Alligator mississippiensis: one gene and its partners. The protein of the gene in region 4 purifies or fractionates together with the protein of the main gene of each other region. This does not show direct contact. Links are inferred from orthologs where the notes say so. Each region holds a gene or a part of one and is shown on either strand. Other genes may lie near its edges. The genes, in order: SMARCA5, ARID1A, FAM120A and EZH2.

Region 1 (7,018 bases), on a different chromosome or scaffold from region 4:
TACCCCCCGCTGCTGATGACGCTGCTGTTGATGGTGGCGACAGCTTCTTTGGGTCCGAAGCACGTGGGATCAGAGCAGGGGCAGGGCCCCACATGGGCTGATTTGCCCTGGTCCCCGCACCCTGCTCAGGTTGGCTCTGCGGGCTGCTGGCTTTTTTTTTTTTTGCTAGGGCCTGAATGGTCTCAGCTGCCCCAAAATTTAAAAAAAACCCAACACATTTGGTCAGACCAACTCGCCCATCTTCAGAGAGACTGCCAGGGCTCCAATTGAAACACGGGCCAGAATCTGGGGCCTGGCACTGGTCATAGCTGGGGGGAGCACCCTACGAGTCCTGCTGCTGGATCTCACAATTACTTCCTTAGCTGTGGGCTCCATCAGTTGTGGGACTCCCAGCTGCAGCAGCTCATGGGGCTCCCACTGAACTGACGTAAGGCGTAATTGGATCTGATGCTGGGTCCCACAATCATGCCTGCTGCCTTGCATGTGTGGCATGGCAGGAGGTGTGATTATGTGGATGGCACAACAGATCCTATCACACATGTATGGCTGGATCAGGGTCAGGCCACTCTACCTTACCCTCTAATGGCTGGATCAGGCCCAGGCTCCTGCTGCTTTTTCTCTCGATGCTGGATCAGGACAACCTGCTGGGTCTGGGCTGCAGACAGACTGGTTACTGCCCATCCGGCTCACCAGCGAAAAAGATTGAGCACCACTGTCTTAAAGCATGGTGTTGTTGGAGACAGAATCCTGGGTTAGTTGGACAATATGTGCTGCTGCTGCTTGTCCCCAGGGAACACCCATGCATATGCACTCTGGCACGCAGCATGCTGCCCCAGGTGGGGTAGGGGAGGCTGGGGCTGATGGCTGTGAAATTTAAAAATGCAAGACAGTGGCTGAGGCAAGACTGGGTTGTAGTAACAAGTCTGCCACAACGAAAATCAAACTCCGCTAATGGCTGCAACGCATTAGGCATAAAGAAAGTGGAGCTTGCGGTACCCAATACTAGACCCATGCCATAAGATGATCGCAGTCATGCTAATAGTCCTCAACCTTCTACCACAACCGAGCCTATAAATAAGCGTGATGGTTCCTCTAAAAGGAAAATTTTTGGCAGAGACCTGACACACTCATCACATGTATATATCCAAGCTATGAGAGAGAGGCTGAGCTAGAGAAGGCAAGGAAACTACATATACATTTCAATTGAACTAGCAACTAAAGAAGATTAAATATACATTTCAAGCAAAACCTGTAAAAGGTGCACTGAATACAGGAAAGGTGTCCTGTATGTGACAAAAAAAAATGCATAAACACATGCTCATATTTCTCAAAACATGCATTCAATATCTAAGGTGTTACAAAAGTCTCAATTGTTCAATGTCTGTCTGGAGTTTTGTAAATAGACCATAACCACCAGTACAAGCTATTGCAAATTTGTCCCATTGTTAAACAAATACCCAAAGACAGATCCGGTAAGCAATGCCTCTAGGTATCCTGTTTAGCTATTCAGGACCCATCACATTTAACTGATGAGCTAGTCAGTAGCTGCAAGAAACACAAGTCTTCACACCTGGACAAATCCAAAAACAGGAGCCAGGCAATTTAATAATTGTAATGTGATTGTTCCCCCTTTTCCTCCCCGTTTTGTTTGGTCTTTAATTGACCAACCATCAAAGAAAAATGCTTAGAAGCTATACAATTAAAACAGTATAAAAAGAAAGACAGAACTGCCAGCAAGGTGTGCAGTCCAGGGAAGATCAAGAATGAGGCCGCAGCTAGAATACTGCGTTCAGTTTTGGGCTCCACAATTCAAAAAGGATGTGGAGAAGCTTGAGAGAGTCTGGAGGAGGGCCACGCACATGATCAAAGGTCAGGAAAACAGACCTTACAATGACAGGCTGAGAGCTATGGGACTCTTCAGCCTGGAAAAGTGCAGGCTCAGGGGCGATCTGATGGTCACCTATAAGTTTATAAGGAGTGTCCACCAGGATCTGGGGGAAGGTTTGTTCACCAGAGCACCCCAAGGGATGACAAGGTCTAACGGTTATAAACTCCTGCAGGACTGTTTCAGGCTGGACATAAGGAAGAATTTTTTTTACTGTTTGAGCCCCCAAGGTCTGGAACAGCCTGCCATCGGAGGTGGTTCAAGCACCTACTCTGAATGCCTTCAAGAGAAATGTGGATGTTTATCTTGCTGAGATCCTATGACCCCAGCTGACTTCCTGTCCCTGGGGCAGGAGGCTGGACTCGATGATCTTCCGAGGTCCCTTCCAGCCCTAATGTCTATGAAATCTATAAGAAGCCATCCTGCACCCAGTCCACAAATGAAGGACCCAAGCTCTGTGAAAACTGTAAGGATAAGAACCGCTTCCTGCCTGCTTGGGTAAAAGTCTCTTGCAGCTAAAATAGTACAAGGACTGTAATAGTTCATGTACTGAATATTAAGAAAGAGTCTTTTTCTGTCATTCAGTTTTATAGCTTGTTTGTAGTTATTCAAGCAAGCCTTTCTGCTATTAATCAACCAAGTGTTGTGTCAGTTCTTAAAGCACTAGGCTCGAAATCTGGTTTGTGAGCGCAACGGGGGCCAGCATCTGAGCTGGCCCCAGCAGCTGTACCTGGGGTCTTGGGAGGCCTCCGGGGGCTGCAGCCACAGCAATCCAGCAGCACGGAGCCTGGCTGGCAGCCGGAGTGTGGCTCTGGCTGGCCAGGCTCTGGTTTTGGGCACCCCATGTTGCCACCACATATGCCACCCTACTTTTTTTAGGCTGGGTCCCACAAAGTTTTTTTGACACAAGGATCTCCAAGTGTCAAAAAGCCCTCCTATGCCGCAAATTGGCTGTGTGGGGAATGCCTGCATGTGCAGTGCACACAGTGTGTGGTGCTGGAGATGGGTGTGCGCTCATCTGGATGTGCCTGAGAAGCTAGATCAAAAAAAAAGTATTTAGGTGCCTGTTGACTTCACTGGGAAGTCAATGTTGCTCAAAGAGGATTCTGGCACTTCAGTGCCTTTCTGGATCTTCTTGGCTGTGTTAATCTCTTTTAAGCCTGGCTCCTGACAATCACAGCTTTCCGTATTTTTCTCTAAGCCCTGGCTCTTGAAGCCTCTTCATATCAGAGACTCTTAACCTCATCTGTTTTCCATTTCTAGTCCTCTTGATTTGACAATCAAACAACACGACTCACCAAATATTATATGAAAATATTATATATACTTTAATATCATATTATATATTATAGAATCACAGTGCACCTATATGAGGTATTATATATTTATTTAAATATATTTTTAATATTAAAGCAGTATTTAATATTTAATACGTTATAATCTCAAAATATTATAATTGTTATTGTTTTGTTACAATCTTGTCATTATGGGTGGGCTGTGTTATTCTTTTGTGTTGTTCTTTTTAATCTATTAAGGCAATGTGTTGTTTTACTTGTTGAGGGGGAGGGGGTCCTGAGTTGACCGCGGCGATTCCTCCTCCTCAGGTCCCAAGCCTTTCCAGTTTGCTAATTGCTCATTTGCTAATTCCTTTTTTTTTTTTACCCCCGCCCCCCCTTTGCTAATTCTACCAGGGGATGGGATGGAGGGGCGGGGCAGCAACTGGAGTTTAACAGCACAGTGTGCGTCTGCCAGTAGCAGCAGCTGCAGCTGTTGGGTAGCTCGTGCTGCTCCCGCCGCGGCGATCCTCGGTACCTGAAGCAGCGCGCTCCAGACCAGCTGAGCTCCCGGGACCAAGAGTTCGAGCCTTGCCACCACCGGTGACGTCAAGCCGGTTCGAACACTTCAGTTCCCGGTTGCCCCACGCGTGATAAACGTGCTTTCCCAGGCGAGGCGGGGCGGAGCCAGAGTGACGCGGCAGTTTAACGTTCCAGCTCGCCCCGCCCCTTTCCTCGCGCCTGGCCCTGCCAGCTCACGCGTCTTCCCAGCCCATAGCCAACCGGGAAGCGCTCAGCGCGCAGGCGCACTCGGCTTCTGCCCCGGCCCTCCGGGAAGAGCTGTGGGAGCTTCTTTTCCCTGCCCCCGCGCCAGTTCTCGCGAGAGCTGGGAGCCGGCTCGGGTGCTGGTTGGTGGGCGCGGGTCCGGAGCGAGCCGGGACGGGGGCAGCGCGCGGGGTCTGAGCGGCGGCGGACACTGTTCCCCTTCCCTCCCTCCCTCACCCCACGCGGCCGGCCGGGAAGCGCCCTCCCCCGCGTCGGCATCATGTCCGCCGGGCAGCACGAGCCGCCGCCGCCCAAGGACGAGAGCCTGCCTCCTGCCGCGGCTCCAGCTCCGGCTCCGGCCAGCGGCGAGGCAGTGGTGGTGGGGGCCGCTCCCCTCAGCGCGGGGGCGGCCGTTGGCGTCGCCGACATGGAGGTGAGGGAGGGCACCCCCGGCCCGGCCCGACGCCGCGTGGGGCGCAGACAATAGAGCGGGAGGAGGCGCCTGGGCCGCGGCCGCGTGTGCGAGCGGAGCCGGGGGTGGGCGCGGGGGGCTGGCCGGGGGCAGGGCAGCCCCGGCGGACTGGCAGGCGGCGAGCACGTGGAAGCGGCGGGGCTGGAGCTTTGCTCCCTTGCAGCTGTGTCCTGCCGCCCTGGGAGCCCCCCCCCCCACAGCGGGGGCAGCCGCCCGGGACCCGCGTCCCCGAGCTCTTCGCCGGGAGCGTCAGCCTGGCTCAGCCGGGGTTGTGGCTCGCGATTTGGGGAAATGAGTCCATCCTGCTTCTAACGCCTGAGTCTGCCCAGCCGGCTTCAGAGGACTGGCTTGGACAGCTTTATTTGTTTATCTTTAAAGCTTCTTTAGAGGAGTGAAAGCTGGGGGGGGGAGGCAAAGGGCCACCGGAGAAGAGGTCCATGTCTTCTTGTGTGTGATGGGTGGTGCTTTGGAGTCCTTTGAAGACTTAGGGTCCTGTCTTCCAGTGGAAGCAGTGTGCTGCGTTGGCCTCAGTACCGATTTTTGTTGCCTCCTTTTGTTCCCCACCCAGTGTGCTGATCGTAGCTGTAAATGTGCTGCTCTCTTTCTCTAGCTGGACCGTTGACTGTCGCCTCAACTAAAAAGGCGTTCTTTCTGAAGCGTTAGCCTCTTTGCTTGCATGCTGTCACCCAGAGGTAGCCTTTTGAGCTAGTTAATGAAAGTGGCAGGAAATGCAAGAGAGATGAGAGCAGCTGGGGCTTTGTTTGTGCTGACACTTCTGATCTTCCTTCCTTGTTGGTGGTAGGATTTCTGAGGATGGTGGCCTTAATTGGACCAACTACATAGCTGGGATCAAGGTAGACAAGCTCTTGAGTGTAGGACACGCTTTGTGGACTATCACAGCTATTGCATCACTCATACGCCATCGTTGCCAGTGTAACTCCTGTGATGGTAGCAGTGCACAGACCGCTTGTGAACACTAAACTGTTGATGTGCATGTAGGACACAGAGAGACACAGTGATGAAATCTCCCTCCAGTAGCAGTACTTTTAGGAGATTGAGAAATATGCCATAATTAGGTAGGGGATTGAGAAACATGCCATTATGCACTGAAATGGAGCAATATGCATTTGACAATCATTATCTGTCCTTTGTATTCAAGAGAGAGTTCTGCCAAATATTAATGGAAAGAAATCTACATTCCTAAAGAAGAGTCCACTTGACTTATTTGCAAGGAGATTCAAGAATGATTTAAATTGTAATCTTGGTAAAAAAGTGCTCGGATAATTACCATGCTCTTCTGTTTTCCAAATCTTATTGCCAGGGACTTTACAGGCTCTGCTGGCCCTTTAACAAGTGGTGTTATTCTTTTAATAAGCATTTTTTTGTGAAAGATATTTCATGGTAAGTTGAACTCGTAAACAAGGGCCACAGCCCTGCAGTCCTTCTCACTGTTAAGCAAGGTTGTCGCGTATCAGATCAGTCCAGTCTGGATAGGCAGGATGCTCTAGCAGGGCTAAAGGGACTGAGGACCACTGTGTTAATGCACTGATTTCTAAACTGGAACTGCACCTTTCATATTTGGGTATGCTCTTGTGCTTTGTCCTTTCACACAGTGACCATGCTTTCTCGCTCTCTCTCTGGTTTTTTTTGTCTATTCTATTCGGGGTTTTTTTCCTTGTTAATTGTTTTTGCATGTGTTCTCCTTTGTTTTAGCATATCTTTTCTGCTCCCAGCTGCTGTCAGGGAATTAATTCAGCTAACTTTTCATGTGGGTCACCTAAACAGATGGGTGATGAGACACCTGGAGAGTTTCTATTTACTCTCTTTACAGACTACCCTGAAAAAAAGAGTAAGATGCAGCTTCAGCACAAATAGTCTAGAGCAGGACTTTGCCTGTAATGTTACAGCACATATTGTTTCTGGTGTGAGGATCCAAAGCAGAGTGAAGTTTATAAATGCTTGGTAAAGAAGTAAAAATGTGATATTGATAGTAGAGTTGAAAGGTGGTTACTGATGCGGAGTAAGGACCAAATAAATCCCAGTTTGACTGGGTAATCAAAGAAAAGGATCCTTCTAAAGGATAAAGGGGAGTAGAAAGCAAATTAATATATAGATAGAATTTGTCAGTAGAAAAACAATCTAGTCATCATCTCTACCAAAATTGGTTTGGTACAAAAAACCAAACAGCTATGTTTTTCAAACCTGTCACCCTGCCCTTAGGAGTAAACTGAATATTAAAAATCTACAACCTGGGTAAGTAAATCTTTTAATGTGTCAAGATTTGAAAGAGAGAAGTCATCCACTACGGGTAGAAAATGTGTGCAGAAAATAATTTCTGAATAAGGCTGAGTCATTTTTTTCACAAAGTTACAACTTTAATTTGCCTCTTCCCCCTTTTAGGAAACTTTTGATGATGCATCGCCAGGAAAACAGAAAGAAATTCAAGAATTGGATCCCACATATGAAGAGAAAATGGTATGTAACTTTGGATATGTATACAGTATGTTACTGGTGGCCAGTAGTGATGCAGTTACTTAAAATGAAAAAAAAAATGTTACTGATCTGCACTTTGAGGCCCTTTCACTTGATTCCTGGCACTTTGACCAGGTATTTCTGGGAGAA
Region 2 (7,694 bases), on a different chromosome or scaffold from region 4:
GATTTTACTCCTAATGTTGAATTCAGACACAGCCACCCCTCTCGATTAACCCTCGCTTTAGGCTGAAACGAGTCTCTCTCCAACGTCCAGGCGTACAAAAAGTTGTTATTATCTCGCTTGGGCCATTTGAAAGAGAGTCATACTGAAAGAGAGGGCATGGAAGGGGGTTGTTTCAGTTGAATAAATGAATCCCACGTTGCTTAAAGCTATGATTTGTTCTGTTCCACTTTGTACTTCCCTTCTGTTTTTGAGACCCAGCAGGTTGAGAGGTGCATGGCACGGGAAAGATCTGCTGAGTGTGTTGCAAGGCGCGGTTCCACTCCACGCCAAAAGCTCCAGTTCAGATTTTACAGCTCCTGGTGAGGGCTGCTAAAATAATGGATTTCCTTGAGTCAGAGTTGAGTCCACTTTCCTCTCTCAATATGCATCCCAAAGTTTTTCAGCTCACTGTCAAATGTTACTCAAATGTTAACGTTAGATTTTCCAAGTGTGTCGGAAACCTTAGTTTAGTACGGTACCTACGTTCTCGCTTGGTTTTGAAGACCTAGCAAATCCAGTTGAAAATCCACTCCAGCCTTTGAACTTTGCAGCTATGTATGTTCAGTAAACTGACAGAGTTACCTTAGCTCAAACTCCACTTCAGTTTTCACTGTGGAGATCTCTTACTGTGTGCCCCTTTGCCATTGTGGCAGTGCTTGGGAGGGAATAACACCAGACCTCGATATTACTTTCAAATAAGCATTGCCTTGTACAGTGAGCAGTAGATTAAAAACAGTCAGGAAATAAATAATTCAGAAATAATATTAGTGTTTAGCTTCTACAAAGGAGCAATACGAGCTGCTTCTCCTAAGCATGAGAGCATTGAAAATAGTGGAGAGTGTAGGGGCCGACGCACGTCAGGAGATTTACAGAAAACTTTTTTTTTTTTTGAGGGGGGGTGGGTAGAAACTGCTCAGCAACTCCATAGCTACTGTCATGTACTGCAGCTAAGCCTCCATCGCTCCAGTCCATATTTTGCAATGTGCTCTATGAATTATAATAGATTGGTCTCTTCTTGGGTCCAATCTACTCTCGCAGTAGCTTGTGCAGCTCAGTAAAATGGAAGAGCATCCTTATTCCCAAGTCTGAACCTTTCTGCTCAGCATTTTTATTCTTGTTTGCAAGAAGTAGTTCGTGCTTTATTACAGAAACTCTCTCCAGTTCCTACAGTGTGAATCCAGTCCACGTTTGTAGCCTGGTTAAGGGGGCCAGGGATAATGATAAGAACTCTGCTGTGCGCGCGTGTGTGTGTGAGTGTGCGAGAGAGAGACTTTAGTCCCGTTTCCATGTCAACGATTCAGTCCATATTTGCCATCACACAGTTGGCAAGAGCCTCTTTGAGGAGGGAGACTCTACTCCTGTTTCCAGTAGTCTAATCTATCCCAGGTTTCCTAATCTGCCGTGGTGCCAGGTTAAATGGCAGGGCCACCTTCATGAAGGAGATTCCACTCAGTAGGAGCCAACCTAGCGGCAGTGGCCTTCATTGCCATGTGAGAGACCCGAGTGAGACTTTCATCCTGTGGCATCTTACTAAGTGAACTACCTAGGGCCTTCCATGTTTCAGGGATGTATGTGGTAGCTGTGTTGGTCTGAGACAAAAAGAAATGCAAAAACCTAGACCTCTTGGCTCAGAGATGAGACCTTTTATTAGACCAAGTGAAAAACTGCAATAAAAAATTATATATTTTTTGCAGTTTCTCAGTTGGTCTCATAAAAAGTCTCATCTCTGAACCAAGAGCTCTCGAGTTGTGCATTTCTACCGAGGACCTGGCCTTGCTATTGCAGACTGCTTGGGGAGTGGGGAGGAGAAGAGTCTCTCGACGTGGCCTCAGGTCAATAAAGGAGGAGTTTTAGCACGTTTCAGCAAAGCCTTGCCCGGGTCTCTTTGGCTGGAAGGGGCACAGTCACGAGGCTAGACCATGAGGCTGATAAAAGACAAACATTCACAGGTGTTAGGGTTGCCAGAAGACCTTTATTCTCCAAATAGGATGGTAAGGATCTCACAAGGCATCTCGCTAGTTAATAAAATGGCAGGGCCTCATGGAAGAGTCCTAAAATGAGGTAGGGCTTTGCTCTGAAACATTGGTAAAAGGAGCGTCTCCTTGGTGGGGGTGTGCATGGGCACCGGCCAATGTTTTCCACGGCCCCTTTCGCTCTCCGCTTCACAGCGAGCCAAGGTGCTCTTTGGAGAAGGCTCCAAAAGTGCGACGCTGCAGACAGTAGCTGAGAGCAGATACTCGTTGTCTGCCTACAGGAGCCACTAGACTGAAGCCTCACGCCTGCTCTGTCTTTGAAAGACTCGAAGGCATTCAGTCAAAAAAGCAAGGCTTCATTTAATGAGGTAGCCTCCGGCCTGGTTTGTGGGGGAGAAGGAAATCAGGATTGTGTGGACCAAAAGAGTTGGGGATTCAACGAGAGAACTTCCACGATCCTGTTTTTCCTAGTGCGTCATTTTAAGAGATGAAAAAAGAATATCCTCTCTGTCTGCCCGCCGTGGACGTTACATCCTGTCACAGGGCTGGCACAGAGCACGAGGCCTCCTTCATGTGGAGACCGTAACATGGTCTGCTGAGGGAGAGTCGACTCCCCGGCTCAGTCTGGACCTCGCTCTTCGGTCGGACGTCAGATGCCTCTTTGCGAAGAGGGCTCGGGTCACTGTTTCCTCTGAGCAAAGTTTAAAGCCCGCCGCGGTGCCCAGTAAAACGTGAAGGCGTCTTCTTTCAGTCTAGGCCGGCTCAGCGACTGGGACAGGAACGTACTGTCTCCCTTTCCCCTGCGGTCTGCTTCAGAGGCAACACTCCCGGAGCAAGCTTACGGAAATACGCCCCACCATTCTCTGCTGGAGGACGAGTTTCCGTGCGCGGTGTCAGGGCACACAGACATGGGGGGAAGGATTGGGAAGCCAGAGATCTCTGAAATCTTTCTCTGCTCCAGAAAAAGCAACGGCAGCGCTTGCCTGTTGTCAAGAAAAGTCCGGCCCTAAATTCAGTGCTCAGAAACTGCTTCAGGATTTTGTGGCAATTGGCAGAGGACATCTTGAAAGAGAAAGAGTCTCCGATCCAGTTTGTGCCTGGAGAACATTGTAGGTCTGCGGGTTCAGATCGGATTGTAAGATGTTATTTTTTTCCAAAGCAGAGCTGATGCCTACTTTGCAGCCCCCAGCATTTCCCTGGTAGCTCCTAGCGTCTTGGGAGGCCAGTCCTGAGAGGGGCCTTTGGGTGCTGTTCTAATGCAAGGACTAACGTTAGCAACCGTTACATATTATCCCCGTACAATAAATATTAGGAAAAAAGAGAGGCCGAGTCTCTGTCTCCAGGCCAATTTGCTGAGGCGGAATTTGCTCTGTGTTGAACAGTCTATTGTAAACTGGCAAAGCTGCTTTTGTTAGGGAGCCTGCAATGCAGTTTGTGGCTCTAGAATATAGTCTGAATTTTGCTACCCATTGACTTGTGCAAATCCCTATCCCTGCCTCCACCTTCAGACTGAATCCCGTCTAGGTTTTAGTGTCCACGATTCTCCCATCTACGTCGTTAGAAAATATATATTCTACGCTTGGCCGTGAATGCCACTTCTCTTATAGGCTTGAAAGCCCAGATACCCACTGCACGTGCATGGGCGGTACTAGCACTTGTTCAGCGTCTCATCTGTGTCTTGCTTCTTGGGCCTCTGGTCTGCTCATTTGGATGCGCTTTGTGTCACGTGAACTGTGGCTTGCTAGCTATGGATTGCCACCAAAAACCCCTTTCCTGGGTAAACCCGAGGCAGGTAATTGCTGCGGGTGCCTTCTGTTCCCCGTGCCACCGGAGAAGGGAAAGACCGTTCCCACCAGCCCGTCCCTTGTTCAGGAACCCCCGTAGCAAACTCGTTCGACATATATGTACAATCGCGTTTGTTCGGGAAAAGTTCCCCCTTCCAACAAGCATTTCTGAAGTCGGGGGAAGTCTCGTCAACTGGGTTATCAACGCTGATATCACGAAGACTACCACTTCCTAATGCCGGAGACTTGATTTGGCGGTCTAAATTCACTTTTATTTTGATCTAGTTTCATTTTGTTATCGTCTTGGATCACACGCGTGGTTGAGGGAACCGTCGTCCCCGCGGCACGCAACCGCAGCGCTTGGGCTACAGGACTTGGGACAGGGCCTGCTGGCTCCAGGGGGGCTTCGCCTGGGCAGAGAAGACGGTTGTAAGGGGACCCTGAACCACCCCTCGACCCGCTCAGTGCCTGCCAGGGCCATGCGCTGGACACACGTGTATAAAATCACGGGGAACAAGGGCTGGAAGGGGCCTCGGGAGGTCAGAGCGGGGCCACCGGGCCTCCTGCTCCCGCTCTCTCCCCTTCCGCAGGTCTTCAGCGGGGGGTTCGCTGTCCTGACTTAGGGGCTCCGCAAGTGGCACGGGCCCAGCGAGGGGGTGGGGGTGGTGGGGGGCAGCATCTCCGGGGGCAGGGAGCAGAAAGTGGAGTGGGGGTGGACGCAAACAGCACTTCCCAGGACAAACCCTTTGCCAAAAAACCCACCAAAACCCAGTGTTTTGAAGTTGTTTTTAATGTCCTAAGAGCTGGTGGCACTTGCGAGCGAGCGAGGGCGCGGGGGCCGCTCGCCCGAGCTGGGGAAGAAAGAGACTTTCTTTCGGAGCGGCGCATTCCCGTCGCAGTCCGCTCCGATCCGCGCCGGGTTTCGCGGCGGGGGGGAAGGGAAGGGAAGGAAGGGAAGGGAAGGAGCCGAGCCGAGCTGAGCCGAGCCGCCTTTTGTGGCGGCGAAGGGCAGGGCAGGGCAGGGCAGAGCGGAGCGGAGCGGAGCAGAGCAGAGCAGGGCGCCGCTCCGCGGATCCGGATCCGCCGCCGGAGTTGCGAGGCGCCCGGGGCCGGCCGCTCCTCCGCTCTCCTTTGTGACGGGGGGAGGCTCCGCTCCGCGCGGCTCCGCTCCGGCCGGCCGCGCTCCGCTCCGGGTTTGGCAGGCGGCCGCGGCGCTGGGTAAAATGGCAGAGCCGAGCCTCGTGTCGGAGTGAGCCGGAGCGGAGTCGGGCGCTGCTCCTCGGCCCCGCCGTGTCCCGGCCCCCCCCGCCCGCTCGCCCGCCCGCCCTCCTCCCTCGGCCCGGCCCACTCGCCTCGCCTCGCCTCGCCTCGCCTCGCCTCGCGGGCCCGGCGGGGATGAGCCCCGCCTGAGCGGGGAGCAGCGGAGCAGCGCCGCGCCGCGCCGCGCCGGGGCGGGGGGATCATGGCCGCGCAGGTGGCCCCCGCCGCCGCCGGCAGCCTGGGCGCGCCGGCCCCGGCCGAGCTGAAGAAAGCGGAGCGCGAGCAGGACGAGGCGGCGGCGGCGGCAGCAGCAGCGGCAGCCGCGGAGGAGAAGCCGGCGGGCGAGGGCGCCGCCACGGAGGCGCCGGACGAGAGCAACGGCGAGCCCGAGCCGCAGGGCCCCAACGGCAGCGCGGGCCCGCGCGCCCACCCCGACCCGCCCGCCGCAGCCGAGGCCGCCCCGCCGCCGCCGCCACCACCGCCCCCGCCGCCGGCCTACGGCTTCGGGCCGCCCTACGGGCGCGGGGCGCCGGCCGCCGCCGCTGCCTTCCACCAACATGGCGGACAACAAAGCCCTGGCATGGCAGCGCTGCAGAGCGCCGGGCTGGAGCCGGCCTACCCGGGCGCCGCCGCCGCCGCCGCCGCGCCGCACAACTCGCACGAGCACGGCTTCGCCAACCACCAGTACAACTCCTACTACCCGGCCGCCGCCGCCGCCCGCGGCCCCGCCGCCGCCGCCGCCTTCCCGCCGGCCTACGCCCTCGCCGGCTCCCCGCGGGGCGGCGCGGCCAAGCAGCCCCCGCCGCCGCCGCCCCCTCAGCGCCTGGGCGCCGCGGCGGCCGCGCAGCCCAGCGCCACCCCCACGCTCAACCAGCTGCTCACCTCCCCCAGCTCGGCCCGCGCCTACGGCGGCGCCTACCCCGGCGGCGGCGGCGGCGGCGGCGGCGCCGACTACCCGCAGGACGGCGGCAAGGCCCCGCCGGCGCCCGCCGACATGGTGTCCCCGTACGGCGGCGGCGGCGGCAGCGCGGCCTGGCCGCAGAGGAGCCACCACGCGCCCGTGAGCCCCGGCAGCAGCGGCGGCGGCGGCGCGGGGCCAGCCCTCAGCCGCGGCCCGCAGGTGAGTGAGAGGGCGGCTGCCCCCCTCCGGCCCCGGGAGCTGCCATTGTGCCTGCGCGCCCGCGTCTAAAATGGCTGCCTCCCCCCGCCCGCCCGCACGCACGCACCGCCGGCCTTTGTGCCGCGGCCCGGCCCGGGCCCGGGCCCGCGCACCGCCCGGCGCCGGGATTTGAATTATGGAGGTAAAATCCTGCTGTCAAAGCCAGGAGACAGTTGGTCTTAGGTTGACATCCTCTCTGCGCGCTGATTGGCTCCCCCTCGCCTGCTCCTGGCCATTTGTAATTGCCTCTGATGTCATGGCACCGCCATCCCCTCCGCGCATCCCCCGCGCCCGCCTGCACGCCCGCCCGCCCGCCCGCGCGGCGCCCCTCGTCCCCTCAGCCACCGCCTCGGGGGAGGGCCGCGGGAGTCGTGCCCCCCAGCAAGCAGGCGGCTGCTGCCGCGTGGCCTCGGTCGCTCGAGGGCGCCTCGTTCCGGCCTCGGGAGGGCCCGTTTGGCAAGGTGGCTTCTCGGGATCCCCGGGCTTCAGGGCTGTTCTCGCACCCGACCGGGATCGTTTTCGGGAACGCCAGCGGTCTTCGAGCGCTGCGGGGCCCGGCTGCGTTGGGCGCGCCGCCCTTTGGGAGCGGGGCCGGTAAACGCGTCCGTGCGTTTAAGCCGTTTCTCTCGGTGTGATTTTCTTTTCCCCCCCTGTTTGTTGTTAAAGCCCCGGTGGAAAGGCGAGGGCAGGCTGTGGGGGTGCTGCACGGCACTTTTACCCATGTGCGAGTCAGACATTTTGGATCCGGAGCCAAGGGTTACTCACCTCTCGTTCGTATCTGTTCTTACTAGGTTTGAGGAGCCCCCGTCCGTGTGCGCGTCTCGGGCAGCGTTGGCAGACTTGTCTCTCTCCTCTCTGTCCTACCTGCGGAGACATTTGATACTCTAGAGTGTGACTTGCGCCTCCAGCTTTCCCTCCTCCGGCGTGGCTCCGAACTTTCATTTTTTGCTCCTTGATTACTGTCAGTGGTGTCTGCTTCCTCCTCTCCGAGCGCTGCAATCGCCCTCTCCCTTCAGTTGAAGCCCTGCTTCCTGATGAGGGTCTTCTCTCTGCTGCGGTCGCTGCGCTGTCTGCAGGGAAGGAGTAGGGACCCCTCTGGGTAGATATTCCAGTCCGCTTGTCTCGTGTTTGCAGGTAGGATCTTGTGGAAACCAGCAGGAAGGTATTTTATGGAGCAGTCGGGTGCTCTGTCCAAAAGTCCTCCTGGACCCAAACGGGTATGAAGAGGCAGCCAAAGATTAACCAGTCCAGGGAGGCGTGTGAGTGCCGTGGGCTACCAGTGAGAGAGACCACACGATAGGAACCTGTTCTTCCTGGAGGGTGGGAGCCCAGCCCTGCGTTGAACGTCCGAAGTGTGGCTTACAACCGCGTGAGACGCCTGGTCTCGGGTGGTTGGTGAGCGCACGTTTGGTGTCTTGGGAGCGAGTGTGACTTAGCATCAGCGCCGTGTCCAGAAAGTTTTGTGCTCCAAGGATGATC
Region 3 (7,084 bases), on a different chromosome or scaffold from region 4:
AAAATTTCTCATCAGTTACAACAGGAGCGAGGGGTGGGACTTCCACTATCACTGTAGGCTGAACTACAGCTGCCTCCAGAATGCAGGATGACTTCTAATGTGGGGCCTGGCAAACAAAATAGACCATTTCCCCCTGTAAAAACGAAGGTCTCATTGAGCCACACACAACTCCAAAAATTAGTTAACATGGTTGTTTCCCCTCTTCTGCTGAACAGTGAAAAAAACCCTTAACCTCAAATTCATCTTTTAGACACTATTTTCAAAAAATGCAATCTTTACAGAAACGCACCCCATCCTCAACGTTCTCCTTTGGCCCAGTTTCAGCACTGTGGTATAATCTGCCAAAAGGACAGTACAAAAGCCTGATAATGTTAAGCTCCAGTTACCGAGCACTGCACGACTCTGAAGGTCAGGTAATATTTACTACGCAGCAGAAGTAACAGGCAACAACTCTTGCAACTAGTGAGTATGTGCTCAACTGCTGCGCCCCTTTTCCTTAGGAGTTTAAGGAAACAGCTCCTGGAATTACACATTTTTGTTAAAAAATTATTTTTACAGTGAAAAGTATGTGTACAGTACCACTTTTGTTTTACTTCCTTTTCAAATCAGCAATACAGAAAGAGATTACCAAGTGGTCTGTTAAATGTAAAATGTTTTGTGGCCCTCAGAGCCATCTTTTCAATACTGGGGCAAACAGACTGTAGCAGACATATAAGTGCAGTCAAAACTACCAGCAAGTTGAGCCTTTTCCTTAAAATAAAAACATGTTAAAGTAAAATGGCTTAGACACATCTGTTAAGTAGTCTTTGGTTTATAAAAAAAGAGAGAGGGGGAGATAGTTAGGACAAGACTGTGATAGTTATGTAGATTAATCAAGTGTCATGCTACCTTTCATCCTTTATGAAAGTTGACTTTTTTTTTCCAGGGGAAGGAGGTGCTTTGTTTTCTTTTTTAATTCTTTATGTCTGACATGGTTATTCTGAGCATTTTATTGTAGATTCAGAACCTGTGCACTTCCTCCTCCATTAAGGCATGCACCTGGCTTCAATCTGGAGTCTGCCTCCACCTGGAACCTGTTGCTGACCTCTAAGGGAGACACTCACTTAACTGAACTCTTTTTAATCCTTAGATTGTAACGCCAGTTTAAATGCTGGCAAACAATGTAGGTCTTCATTTGCATAGGCAGATACAGAAGTGGAAGTATATTGTTACCTGTAGAGTTACTACTTAACCTGGTATCTCAGTCAAGAGACCTCTGAGAAACAAGTACAGGTCACAGAAATGAATGGAACAAAGCACCGAGATCATGGAGGCAGAGGGTCTAGCCTAACACCGTGAGCCCAACTTTTGAGGTAGAAACTACAGAAGCAGAAGAGAGGAGCAACTAACTCCTCAGCATCTGGAGGCCCTCCACAGCAGTGAGCCGCCACGTGCGAGAGGCAGCCAGGGCCCAGGGCGGATGCTCCGGGCTCCAGGCAAGGGGACACGGTGCTGAGAGGGGAGGAAAGAAAACGGAAGAGGCAGAAACTCGGCGCGAAAGGAGGGAGGTGGATGGAAGTTGCTGATGAAGACGTGATGGGGGAGAGGCCGATGGAGAGAAGCGAAGAGAAGGAAGAGGCGGACGAAGGAAATGAGGCGGCAAGTTTTCTCGGCCGGGCGAAGTTTTCCCCGGGCCGCGCCGCCAGCGCCGTGCCCGGCCCTAATCCGCGCCGACAGGTCGGGCCGGGGAGGGGCTGCTGCAGCCCCGCCACGGCCTGACAGCCCGGTATAAATAGAAAATCCCGGCGGAGATTGAGGCCATCAGGGTGCCCGCTAAACCCTTCCCGCCGCCGCGAAGGGCGCCCCGCCGCTTCTCGGCCGGCCTGGCCAGGGGGGCCCGCAGCAGCGGCGGCACAAACTTCGGCCGCGGCGGCAAGGCCTCTCCCAGGCCGCTCCGCTCCGCTCCCACCCGCCCGCCCGGGCTCGGCGACATTTTGCGGATGCGGGCTCCCCCGGGCCCGACATTACCGGGAGGGCAGCCCCGCTCGCTGCCATCTTAGAGCCTGGTGGCGGGGGCGCAGGGGCGCGCGGCGGCAGGGGGCGCCGCGGGGCGCAGGGCGGGAGCCGGGCCGGGCCGGGCCGGGCCGCTCACCTTGATGTGGAAGCGGATGAGGGCCAGGCGGATGCAGTGCGCCATGCAGACGGGCGGCAGGAACCAGACCTTGGGCGGCGGCGTGCCCTTGTTCTGGACGTGGCTGACGATCTGCTGCGCCGTCTGGCGCTCGTTGCCCTGGCGCTTCACCCACTCGTGCAGCCGGGCCTTCTCCAGCGCGCCGTTGAAGAAGACGAAGAGCTCGATGTTGCCGTTGAAGCAGGCCTTGGCCAGCGCCGCCAGGTAGCCCAGCATGTGGTTCCACTGCCCGCCGCTCACCCAGTCCGTGTAGAAGCCGCCGTAGAGCCGGTGCAGGCAGTTGTCGGCGTCGATGAGGAGGCGCAGGGGGGTCTGGGGGGGCCTCTGGCGGCCCCCCCCCACCAGGCTGCCCCGGGCCAGCTTCTGCAGCTCCACGGGCACCACGGCGCTGGGGCAGTGCTTCTCGATGTAGTCCTGGAAGCCCTGCACTCCCATGGCGAGGCGAGGCGAGGCGGGCGGCGGCCCGAGGCGGCAGCGGCGGGAGGGAGGGAGGCGGGCGGGCTTCGGGGCCGGCCGGCGAGGCGGTGGTTGCAGGGGAGCGGGAGCGGTGGAGCCGGCTGGGAGCGCGGGCGGGCGGCGGCTGTTCAGGGGGGAGTCGTGTGGATGAGTGGGGGGCTCATGGCTGCTGCGGCCGCCATGTGCTGCTCTCACAGAGCCATGGCTCGGGGATCCGGGCTGTGCTGCCGCTGCGGCTCCTACTGCCGGGGGGAGGGGGAGCGGCAGAGCGCGCAGGAAGCCAACCCGCCGCCGCCGCCGCCTGCAGCAGCCGCGCGAGCGGAACAGGCGGGACTTGGCCGCCGCCGCCGCTGCCACTCACAGCGGCCCGCGCACACGCGCCTCGGCCCGGCCACCGGCCCGCCCGCGGCCGCCCGCCCCGCCCCGCCCCGCCCCGGCCCCCTGCGCGGCCCCGCGGCCCTGCCCTGCCCTGCGGCTGCGGCACTGGGGCGGCGGGCCCGGGCGGCCTGGCGCGCGGCGCTGTTGCATAACCCGGGCATGCGCCCTGCGAGCGGCCGGCGCGGAGCGGAGCGGAGCGGAGCTGGCGCGTAGGCGGAAGTGGGGGCGGGGGGAGGGGCCCGGCCGGGCAGCGGCGGGGGGGGCACCTAAACCCCTCTCCCCCCCCGCCGGCCGGGGCGCTGCTCCCGCCCGAGCTGCGCGGCAGCGGCGGCGGCTGTGGCACGAGGAGGCTCTGCCGCAACTCGCTGTTACGTCAGCGCTGAGGGGAAAGCGATGCTTTTCCCCCCAGGAATAAATCCCCGCCGCCCCCCCGCGCTGTCATGGCAGAGGCCTACGTGCGACTCGTCCATTGGGGCCGAGGGCTCCGCTCCTCGCTCCCCGCCGCTCGCACTCGGCCTGGAGCAGTGCGGGGCCCAGCTCGGATCGGAGCCAAACTGGCCCAGAATCCGTTTCTGGCGGGTTTGGTTTTTCGGGGTTTTTTTCCCCCAGTTCGGCCACGCCGGGAGGAGCGAGCATGTGTTCCCGCCTCTGTAGGTAGAAATGCAGCAGCCGCAGTCACTCAGAAGTGAAGGCGGCAGTAAGGGATTAGGCTTATCCCGCCTGCGGCTGCAGGCTGAGCGCTGCCGGGGAAAGCAGCTGGAGGAAACTTGGTCGGCTGCAAATGTAGGCCCGACAAGCCCCGCTAGTCCAGCCCATGCCTCTGTCAGCAGCCTGCAGTTCGGAGCGCTTGGGCTCTCCAAAGTACGACCTGTTGTCCTTTTTTTTCAGAAGTGCTGCCAACGTTACGTTGGATAATTTTCTTATTCCAGCTTCAGATACTGAAATGGTTTAGAGGCCCACATTTTGGCTTCAGATGTTTCCTGGCATAGCAAGCTGCACAGTTTCTTTTAATATCAACATGGTGCCTTAATATTCCTCTGCAACTGTCAAGTAGGGCAGATACCTTATACTGACTTTAATATTATATTGGCAAAAATAACATTTATTTTAACAAGATTTCAGTTAGATTGGCACCTAAAATAAACATTCCCTTGTGACTCACTCGTAAGCAACTGGTTCCTAGGGAGTGGGCTGGTTTGCTCTTCAGCAGTATTATCACAAATCTGGAGGACATTTGTAGCCCAGAGTGACTGATGTAGCCAGTACAGACGGTGAAATACCCAAAAGTATAGAAGTCCTTAATGAAAAAGTGTTGTGTGGAACAGGTGTTTTTCTTTTAATACTTTGATAGCACAGACCTCCTTTACAAATATCTTTCTGCAAAGGTTTTCATGAGTACCTGGCAAGAGCTTTTATCCAAGTTAGCTTAATAGAAAGCTTAGTAGATTCTCCCTATAAAGTGTAATCATCTAATTTTGTTACAATATTAAGGATAATACGACAAAGCATCTTAGAAGAGTTTAAAATTGTACAAAATATGATGTGGAATAAGACACTAATTGGTTAGAAGCACAATTAAAGATTTAAGGGGTCTTTTAAAAAGTGTCCAAAGCTTCAGCAGAGAAACACTAAATGCAGTGCATGAGACAAAAAAAGGTCTGCGTTCAGTTAGTCAACAGTCCAGCCAAGGAAGAATGTAGTGTTCAGATCATTAATGTGACTTTGTGATAAACCATTCAGAATCGCAGACAGTGAATGAAAAGATTACAATCAACTTTCCTTCTTCAAAATAGTGTCTGTGAAGACATGTCTTTCCCCTTTCCGTCTCAGTCTGACATCTCTTGCACATAGTGCAGGCTTTTCTCAAATGAATCCGAAACATCACACAAAACAGCTGACTCAAAAAAGTAATCTATAGTTTATCATTAAGCAAGAGTTACCAGAGTACATTTACATTTAATATGCTGAGGGAAGAAATCAGACAAATAAAAACATGACACCAAAAAATCTGGAGATTTTTTAAAAGAGGAAACACTAGGCAAAAAGGACCTAAAACGTGAGGATATTAAAATCTTTACTCTTGGCACAGAGCTATTTAAGCATAACATAACTAAGTGACAGATGGCACATGTATCCCTAAACAAAAAAGGAAATAGGATGGAATTACAAAACAGTATGTTTCAAATGGTTATTTGGCCCAAATAGGTATTTTTCAATAATTAGAAATCTGACCAGAAGTGAAAGCAATAAAAAAGCAACATAAATTATGGTAGACAAAATTAAATTGGAAACTAGACAGGCTAGAAAGATTTAGGATCAAATAACCAAAGACATAAGATATTTTTTATATTTATCAGAAGCAGAAAGCCTGTGAAAGAATTGGTGGATCATTTGGCATGATCTGCTAAGTTAGGAAAGCATTTGTGGAGAGGCTAAATGATTTATTTTTTTCTCCATCACTGAGGATGAAGTAAGGACCTAAAGCTTTTCACCCAGTTAACAGGTATAGATCAGTGACTTATTAAAGATCAATGACTCATTATCCAACCTGCATATCAGAAAACTTGGGAGTGGCTTTTTTGGAAAGAACTGAGCAGGCATAGGGAGGAACTTGAAGTAACCAAGCCAGGGTTGAAGGTGTGAGATGAACTTTATTGTTTTTTATTTTTTTAGTTCATGAAATGAGGGTGAGTTTCAAATCTACTGCATTTGTACAGTAAAATAAGAAAGGCATTCACTTTTGCTGCATTTCCTCTTGGTCTCTGCTTTCTGTGGGTGTGAGAGAGTCTATGTCACTGGACTGCCACAGAACCCTCTCTTCTGTCCCTTCTTTAGAGAAATCTCTAAACCTTTCCTTGCTGCTGCTTTGCCCACATCACACAGAGTAGAAGTATATTCCAGGCCTGGGCAGTTCTATCCACTGGAGGGCCTCTTAGTGAGTTTTGGTAAGCTCTGCCCCATGACCGATGCCCCGCTCCCTGGTTGCCATCTTGGGACCGGAAGGCCTGCCCCCTAACCTTTGCCACCAGAAGTCCCTCCTCCCCTTGCCCCCACAAGTCATCCTTTGGGGAAGGGGATTTGCCACCTTGGAACCTGAAACTATATACTAAAAATAAAAAATGAACAGTAACATATGTTACTTTTATAGTAAAAAAATATGTTTGTCCTGATTTGTGTGGTGTATATAGAGGTGATTGTATAACAGCTCAAGATGAGGTCTTACTCTTGTATATTGGCAGGGGGGAGCGGAGGGTATGGATGGGTGGGTATGGGGTTTGTGGGGAGCTGTGGGTGGGTGTGGATGTGTGTGTGGGGGTGTGTGTGGATGTGAGTGGGTGGATATGGGGGCTCGGGGGTGTTTGTGGGGAGCTGTGGGTGTGTGTGTGTGGATGTGTGTATAGGTGGGGTGTGGGGGTGTGTGGATGTGTATGGGGGGTCAGGGGTGTTTGTGGAGATGTGTGGGTATGGAGTTTGTGGGGTGTGTGGAGAGGGAGAGTGTGGGTGCATGTGTGTGTGTGCAGGGGTGCATGCGGGGTTTGTGAGGGGATAGTCTAGGTAGGTGCAGTGTTCATGGGGTATGTGATTGTGTGTGGGGTTGGGTGTGGTTGTGGGGATTGACAGGGGGGCATGTGGTGGCGTGTGCATGAGGGAACCCCCAAGCCAGTCAGCATCTGCCCCCGCTCTGCAACAGCTCGGAGCCCATGTGCCCTGCAGTGCTTCCCCACCACCACCAGCAGCACGCAGCCCCAGCTCACCCCATGCCTGTTCTGGACTCACCCCTGCCAGAGCAGATCAGCAGAAACCTGGGCACAGTCCCAACCTGGCCCATCCCATATTGCCTGCCCGTTGCACATCCTTCTGTACCCCGGACATGCAGCAGGGCTAGGGTAGCTCCATGGCTGGTCTGCCTTTCTAGACAGCCCAGGTGGCAGTGACTTCTGGCTGCCACTACCGCTGGCCCCAGCCCCATGGTACCAGCAGGGACCTGCATGCAAAGCCCACAACCTGCGCACCACACCTGCTCTGGACTCACCCGCCCAGGCTCATTAGTGGTAGCACAGGACAGAAGCTGATTACTCA
Region 4 (7,391 bases):
GCTCACACCCATTGTCCGCCTGCTATAACAAATAATTTGATTATTCCATGTGTTCTGAGAGTGTGGGTCCATGTAAAGAAAAAGGACTACTGGTCCTTTGATAAATTAAAAAATGTACTTATTCCCTCTCTAATTTAATTAATAGAAGCAGGACTGGACCCAGTGAATTTCAGCCATATATAAAGAACTAATGCTTAAAATGTACTAAATTATGCCACATTACAGACCCACACCCCCAAAAAACCTCTGCTTTGTCACTAGCTGCAGCCATATCTCAAAGTAGAGAGGACAGCTGTGAAATAGCTGACAAGGCAGAAATTTAAACATTTTTGTACTTCCTTGTAAGAGCCATAGCATCAGCTACCAATAATCCTGATGTCAGGCAATAGGGGTGGAGTTGGCTCACATGTACTGTACTCACTCCTAGCCAAGCAGGAAGCACTGTATGGCATCCAATCAACAAGTGTTCTAGGCCTGCCTTAAAAAAAGTGGAATCTTTCAAACTAAAGGGATTCCTCCACTGATTCTGCCTGGCTCCTCCAGACAGGGATACTATCAGAGGCCCTTTACTGCAGAAATTGGTAGTGAAATTATTAGAGACACGATCAGAAGCCCATATTTGTTAAAAAAAACTTTCTTCACGTTTAAAAAAAAAGTTCTACTTTGAGCCTACCAGTGTTTAATTTTGCTTTACACTATTGTATCCCTTTCTCCACGAGATGCCTGTAATTTAAGAATAAATAAAGACATGCTATTAGTTTGCCCCTATATAAATGATCAGAATTGCTTGCACTTCTGGCATTTTAAAATGTTTTTAAGGCCAAATGCAGTGCTGAGATGTCTGACTCATAGCATATAACAATTCAATACTCTGTAAATTCTTTATGTAATACTTGATTCATGCATCAAAAAACAGGCATGTTTCACTGGTGGGTTGGACCCAATCCTGCTTCTATGAAAATTCATATGATTTTGTCAAAGGGAACAGGACCAAACCAGAAAAATGATGAATAAAGAAATAAAAATGTTTAGAATAATCTAAAGAAATGTATACTATCCAAATCAGATTTTTTTTCTGATTTGGATTTTGTTTCCATTGTTATATAATTTAAACATTTTGAACATTAACATGATTTTCAAATGCTTTAATTTAGATGGTTTCATCAAGAAATATACTAAAATGCATGAAATAACTTTGCAAAATATCAATTTAATCATTCAAATGATATTCTATAAATTATGAATTATATCTTTTGTATCTGACATCTTCTTTTCCTTTCTTGGAGAAGAACATTTAGTTAAAAAGACCTTCTTCCATTATGAAAATAAGTCAGAAACAGAAAGCCACTTGGGAGGTTTTGCTCAGTGAGAATGGAAAGTCTACAAGCAGCTCTTTGCAACTTTAAACACCTTGGAGCAGAAAAAACAACTGCCAACACTCAGGCTGTTTGCAGGAGACTGATGATCAGACAGTCTGCTTTTTAAGAGTTATTTTCTGATTAGATTTACACATCAAGGCAACACAATTCAACTAAAATGGAAAGAGTATTTCTTTTTAAAAAAGTACACAACCCCCACTCCCACCAAAAAAACCCAGTCCTTTCAGAGCGTTTGATCTTTGATTTCCTAATTGGAACTAGTTAACTCCAAACAGGATACATCTACATATATGCTTTACTGTGCAGTAAACTGTCATTGTTTACATATGCACGGCAATTGGGCCAGTGTAGACTAATTTACAGAGCCGCTGGATAGTCGTCAGACAGAGATACTATCCAACAGTGGAGTAAATTACTGCGCTTAACTGCATGTGTAGACAGTGTCGTCAGTATTAGTTTGCTCTGGCTCACATTGCACCAGAGTTTATTCAGTCGCATTAATTGTACGTGTAGACATGCCCACAGTTCCGGGCACAAACAACTTTCCACTGAAGTGCAGACATCTGAGATGAGGATCTGTTAACAGTTTAATATTAATTTCTCAGTAATAAAATTAACTAAACCAATTACAATAAGTTATTTTTAACATTATTTGTTAGGACCATTTTATGCTTCCTCACTGAAAACAAACTAATGGTCTCAAATTCTAAATAGCAAAGAACTGGGTGGCCATCTTAAATTTGGCAGCCATTTTGGGGTAGTTTTAAATAGCTTTATATCCAGAATTGATCAATAGATCCCATTTTAGAAATGTGCCAATTTTGGTAAATACAATCACAAACGGGAATCTTTTGAAATTATCATTTTTTTTCTGCTGGAATTAAGAAAGGGATAGGAGAATTTGTAACTGCTATGTTTCTTTATTTGCAAAGGAAGATGTTACAATAAAAATGAACTATTAACATTGACTCAATGTAAGGATCAGAAAACAAAGGAGACAGAGCTATAGTTCTATCAGGTCAGAAGATTTTCTTTAAGTTTTGTGATATTTTAGATTTTTGTTGAAACACAGGTTGCTAGAATTAAGAGACAAATACATTTCTAGTCTTTATAGTTGCTGGGGAAAGGTTGCAAATTTGAAGTGAACCCTAAAGACTCAGTAATGGGAAAACAAAAAACACCCAGAATGTATTATTGAAAAAATGGTGTTTCACTGATGTAATTATTTGGGAGAGGGGTAACTCATGGTTGTTTGAATGTGGCTGTTGTTTTTACAGATAAATACGTTATGGCAGGACCAATGAGCCTCGATCATATTCGGGATCCCTTGTGCTAATTGTGGTACAAAGACAACACAGACACCTGGTTCTCTGACACCAAAGAACTTCCAATATAAGATGAGACAACAGGTAAATACAGATAGAGAAACAGATGCAAAAGTACAAGGAAATGACCCCAGTCAGCAATAGGCAGTGATTTCTGCATGCTTATTTGCCTAAATGATATTTTTAGGTATAATGGCCAAAGACAGTTTTCAGAAAAGACTTGAAGAACTTAGAGGAGCCTCTTATAAGTCTGAGTTACAGCCTAGGAGAAAGCATGCACATTTCTGATTGAGAATGTAACATGAAATTTAACAGGAAACTCTGCCAATGAAACCAGGCCAATGAGTCTTGGGAGCTGAGGTCTGACAATGACAAAGAGCTAACAGGTAATATGGGGATGGGCTATGAATAACCATGAAAATGCAGACAAGTGGCTTTTGCGTGGTCCAGCTAATAAAGTTGAGCTGGTAGAGGGATGTAAAAAAGGTGACATGGCCAAAATGCTGAGCTGGTAAAATCATATTTACCCTAGTTTTGAACTGGCATGAGTGGGAAAAAAAACCCTTTTTCCTTAGAAGGCCAAGGAAAAGGCTTAGGTAGTAAGCAAGAGTGTGGGATGATGACAGCCTGAGTGAGAAGGCCGCGTAGACAGACAGGACAGCCTTTTTTTGTGGGGATGCTGTAGAGAAAGCAACAGGAAAACTTTAAGCATGGCCTCCACTTGACAGTGTGGCCAAGACCGAATAGACAGCAGCCCACAAATTAGAGGCCTGAGAGGAAGGCTGATGTCAGTGGCATTAGGTTTTGGGTAATGCTGCAAGATGGGGCATTACTAAAAGCCCTGGATAAAAGCTGTTTTGCGAAACGTGGCATCCTGTTAAGTGCAGCAAGCTGCTTGAGGGTTTGTCAACATCTTTATTAGCAAACAAGGGGCCTGTTGGGAATTTCGCGACCGTCCGGGGCTGCACTGTCAGCTTGGATGTGGAGAAAAACACTACCGAGGATGCGAAGGGTCTTTGGGAAAGGGAGGGGCGAGGAGCCCAGGCTGCTCCCGGCCCCGCTCTGCGCTAGGGACAGTTTTGAACTGGGCTTGAGACTCGTCCCCGAGGCCGGCTCCCGGCAGGTGTCAGCCGGGGCGGGGCTTCCAGCGAGCCGGGGCTGAGCCCGTGGGGAAAGGGCAGCAGCAGGGACTGCGGCAGTGGAGCCGCTCGGGTCGCAACAGGTTGGCAGGAGGCGCCGGGGGCACACAGGCAGCCCAGCCAAGCCCGCCCCCCGCTTGTGCCCCTCCCGCGCGCGCCGCTGAGGCGCGACGGTTAGAACCGTTACGGCTCCCACTTTCGAACTGATTCAAACTCGGCAGCGCCGAGCAAGGGCAGCCCCTTCCCTCCGTGACGCAAATGACAGTTTCAAGGTCCCCCCCGCGCCCCAACCCCTCTCCTCCCCCCCGCGCGCGCCCACGGCCGGCGTGGAGCGGGGCCGGTGTAGGGGGGAGGCTTGAAACTCCCCCTCCCCGCGCTGAGCGCGAGAACAAAGGGCTCCCCCGCCCCCCTCCCTCCCGCACGTGGGGAGCGCTGACCCCGCCCGCCGCCGCCGCGGATTGGCTCCTGCGCACCGTCCTCCTCTCGCCGCGGCCGGCCAATCGGGGCGGCGCTTGGTGGTCGCCAATGAGCGCGACGCGGATTGGGCCGCCGGGCTTTGGCGCTCGGTCCGCCCGGGAGGGTGAATCCGGCGGCCGGAGGCAGCGGCGGGCGTTCGCGGGAGCCGGCGGCGGGTGAGGAGGCTGCACGTCAGCGGAGCTGGGGGCTCTTTATAACCGGCGCCCCCTTTGTGGAGGTGGAGGCCGCCCCCCGGGTGACAGCGCCCTTTGTCTCCCGCGGGCACGGGGTGGGGGCTCGGGATCCCGTCCGAAGGGGCCCCCGGGGAGCACCCCGCCTCCGGGCTCGGCGGGGCCGCGGCAGCCTCGTGCGCTGCCCGCAGCCGGAAGCCGCCGCTTAGCCCAGGCGGCCCCCGTGGTCGCTGCTTCCCCTCCCCCCGCCTGCCCGCCCGCCAGCTCCGGTCGCTATTGTGATGCACGCGCCGCCTCCCCCGCCCCCTGCCAGCGCCTCTGGGGGAAGTGCGGGGCAAATGCGGCCGCGTGCGACCGGCTCGGGAGCCGGCGGGGACCTGCTGTGAGCCCGGCCCCTTGGCCATGGCGGGAAAGCTGTCGAGGCTGAGCCGAGCATGGGCTGTTCCCAGCCCTCTGTTTGCTCTATTTTCCTTTTCTGAGTCTCCGCCATAGGTGTCAGCAAAGGGGTTGGGGAGCATCCCCCAACTTGGGGCAAATGATTCATGCCCAGGGAAGGTGGCGGAGGTGGAGGGCTGATTCACGGGCGCCTGGTTCTGACTGGAAAGACTTAGTGGGGTGGGCGGGCAGGCGGACTGGCAGTGTCAGCTTGTCAGGGGAAGGGCTGGAGGCTTTTGTTCTGGGGGCTCTGCTATGCAGCCGGTTGGTGCCCCAGCCCCACAACCCCCTGCCACTAGGAAGCTGGAGTTTAGCTTTTTGTTTTTCTCCCCTCTCCCAAGGGAAACAGGGGAGCAGGAATCCTTTTTTGATGACCCCAAGTTACAATTGTCGTCTTTCGCAGAAAAGGATTTGTATGGGGGGTGCTGTGGGGATTGGCCGTAAGTTTTGAGACCTAAACCTGTGCGGCGAGTTCTCATTTGATTTCCGAATCGGGGGTTTTCTTCTGTTCCCAGGGTTTAGGACTTTCCTGGAACTTGCCTGTCACTTGTAACAGTTCATTAAAAGCTGCTCTTTTTCTTTGTCCCAAGTGTCCATATCCAGCTGGGAGCTCCTGGGATGTTTATTTGTGGTAACCAGAAAGCATGTTGTGAAGGGTGAGTACATGTACGCAGTGTTCTAAAAGTACCTGCCATTTGGTCTGTCATGATTTGAATACTTAGGACCTTATGAAGATCGGTGATACGGACAGTATATCTCATGCTTTTTTTTTTTCTGAAGTAGTTTGATGCGGACAAACGTAGAACTTTTGGTTTAAACATTCTGTATTTGTGCAAGACTGAATGTTAAACTGAGTCAGATTTATTTATTTATTTATTTATTTATTTATTTATTGTGTTTGTTTGCTTCCTGCCCAAAAAGACCACCTACTGTTTGGTTGCTGTGGAGAGGATTATGAAAAGATAGTTTGTGAAAATATCCCCCCCAATAGTTATGGGGTATTGGCAGAGGTTTCTTTTAAAAGCATTCTTTAAAACTTAGCATGAGGTATCAACAGCTACATTTTCTGATGCATTTCAGGATCCTAATTTAGCATAATAGGATATATGCAAGGTTTGGTTTCTTTATACAGATTTTAAAATATAGTTGTATTCTGAAATGTGACAGACACTTTGGGACTGCCTGCTGTGGCAATGACTTGTAGATTAAATTTGCTCAGTTTACAAATTGTTTTCTTAATGGGCTGTAGACTGAGATCGAAATCGGAGTAACTTTGCCTCTCATTAGAATTACTAAAGACTCTTAAATGGAATTTAGGTAGCAATTTTGTTGAAGGTTTGTGTATCAGCCTAGAATCCAGTTTGCTCGTATAACTGGATCCAGCACTAACAAGGCTATAATGTAGAAAGTATATCCTTGTGCTTGTGCTAATGTTTCTATATTTGGGGAAGCTGCTACTTAGTAAGCTAAGGGATGAATTTGCAGTAACCTAGGTACTCTGCAATAAATGCTTGTAGGGATGTTCTTAATGTACATTAAGAGTACATTTGCGGTAGAAAGTGTGTGTGGACAGCCAATGTATGCAGTAACTTCTCTGTACTGTAAATTAGAAAGCACTGTCTTGACTGTCATGAGCTCTTGGACATTGTCTAAGCAGGGGTCAGCAACGTTTTTGGCCAGAGGTTCCAGAAAACACCCGAACCTCCACCCACACCTTGACTTGGCATGCCAGAGGCGTGGGACCCATGAGTGGTCTGATCCTCATTGCTGGTGGTAGCTGCACATGCGCCTCTGGGTGGACAGCGTGGGAGGTGCTGGGGTTGCGCTGCCCCGGCTCCTTCCCTGCCATGCAATGTGAGGCATGTGTGCCCCCACCAGTGGCACAGAGCTGGTGCTGGGGCTCTGATTGCGGCCTGCTTGCCACCTGCTGTAGCTGCCCAGAGCCTGGGCTAGCTGTCAGGCAGTCGGAAGGCTGAAAATTGTGGTATTGGGCTCTGCGCCACTGTGTCTGGTGGCGATGGCTGCATGTACACCTCTGGGCATGCAGCTGGGAAGGGGTCTAGACTGCACAACCCCAGCCCCTCCCCTGCTGTCTGCCCAGAGGTGTGTGCAGAGCTGCTGCTGCCACCACTGAGCCAATGGTGGGGCTGCAGATCACAGAGCAGCTGTTTGTTGCCTCCCAGCTGCCTGCCATTGCCAGCCTGGACTCCAGACAGCTGCAGCAGATGGTGGGGCAGCTGCAGGCAGTTGCGCTAGGCTCCGCAGCCTTAGCAGTGGTGGTTGAACACATGCCTCTGGGCAGATGGCAAGGGAGGGCCAGGCCTGTGTTGCCCCAAGCCCCTTCCCAGCCATTCACCTAGAGGTGCTTGCACAGCTGTCCTACCCATGTTAGCTGCATGGGGCTCCATAACCCCAGCACTCTAGTTTACAGCATCCTGGCTGCAGTTAGCCCAGGCTGTGGGCAGC

The links.
Region 1: the proteins of EZH2 (region 4) and SMARCA5 purify together in Homo sapiens (affinity purification with mass spectrometry, with the first as the bait; 3 studies listed by BioGRID). This does not show direct contact. The link is inferred for Alligator mississippiensis from reciprocal best matches to the Homo sapiens genes EZH2 and SMARCA5.
Region 2: the proteins of EZH2 (region 4) and ARID1A purify together in Homo sapiens (affinity purification with mass spectrometry; 3 studies listed by BioGRID, with this or other methods). This does not show direct contact. The link is inferred for Alligator mississippiensis from reciprocal best matches to the Homo sapiens genes EZH2 and ARID1A.
Region 3: the proteins of EZH2 (region 4) and FAM120A purify together in Homo sapiens (affinity purification with mass spectrometry, with the first as the bait; 3 studies listed by BioGRID). This does not show direct contact. The link is inferred for Alligator mississippiensis from reciprocal best matches to the Homo sapiens genes EZH2 and FAM120A.

Annotation. Positions count from the first base shown.
Region 1 is NC_081825.1:102,404,047-102,411,064, reverse strand, and holds the start of SMARCA5 (SWI/SNF-related matrix-associated actin-dependent regulator of chromatin subfamily A member 5), read left to right. Parts: upstream 1-4,001; 5' UTR 4,002-4,204; coding exon 4,205-4,357; intron 4,358-6,796; coding exon 6,797-6,871; intron 6,872-7,018. UniProt on the Homo sapiens protein: ATPase that possesses intrinsic ATP-dependent nucleosome-remodeling activity.
Region 2 is NC_081829.1:2,932,099-2,939,792, reverse strand, and holds the start of ARID1A (AT-rich interactive domain-containing protein 1A), read left to right. Parts: upstream 1-4,685; 5' UTR 4,686-5,258; coding exon 5,259-6,176; intron 6,177-7,694. UniProt on the Homo sapiens protein: Involved in transcriptional activation and repression of select genes by chromatin remodeling (alteration of DNA-nucleosome topology).
Region 3 is NC_081835.1:26,558,486-26,565,569, reverse strand, and holds the start of FAM120A (constitutive coactivator of PPAR-gamma-like protein 1), read right to left. Parts: upstream 3,017-7,084; 5' UTR 2,606-3,016; coding exon 2,132-2,605; intron 1-2,131. UniProt on the Homo sapiens protein: Component of the oxidative stress-induced survival signaling. May regulate the activation of SRC family protein kinases. May act as a scaffolding protein enabling SRC family protein kinases to phosphorylate and activate PI3-kinase.
Region 4 is NC_081828.1:117,666,915-117,674,305, forward strand, and holds the start of EZH2 (histone-lysine N-methyltransferase EZH2), read left to right. Parts: upstream 1-4,371; 5' UTR 4,372-4,475; intron 4,476-4,517; exon of another isoform or gene 4,518-4,537; intron 4,538-5,509; exon of another isoform or gene 5,510-5,515; 5' UTR 5,516-5,543; coding exon 5,544-5,581; intron 5,582-7,391. UniProt on the Homo sapiens protein: Polycomb group (PcG) protein. Catalytic subunit of the PRC2/EED-EZH2 complex, which methylates 'Lys-9' (H3K9me) and 'Lys-27' (H3K27me) of histone H3, leading to transcriptional repression of the affected target gene.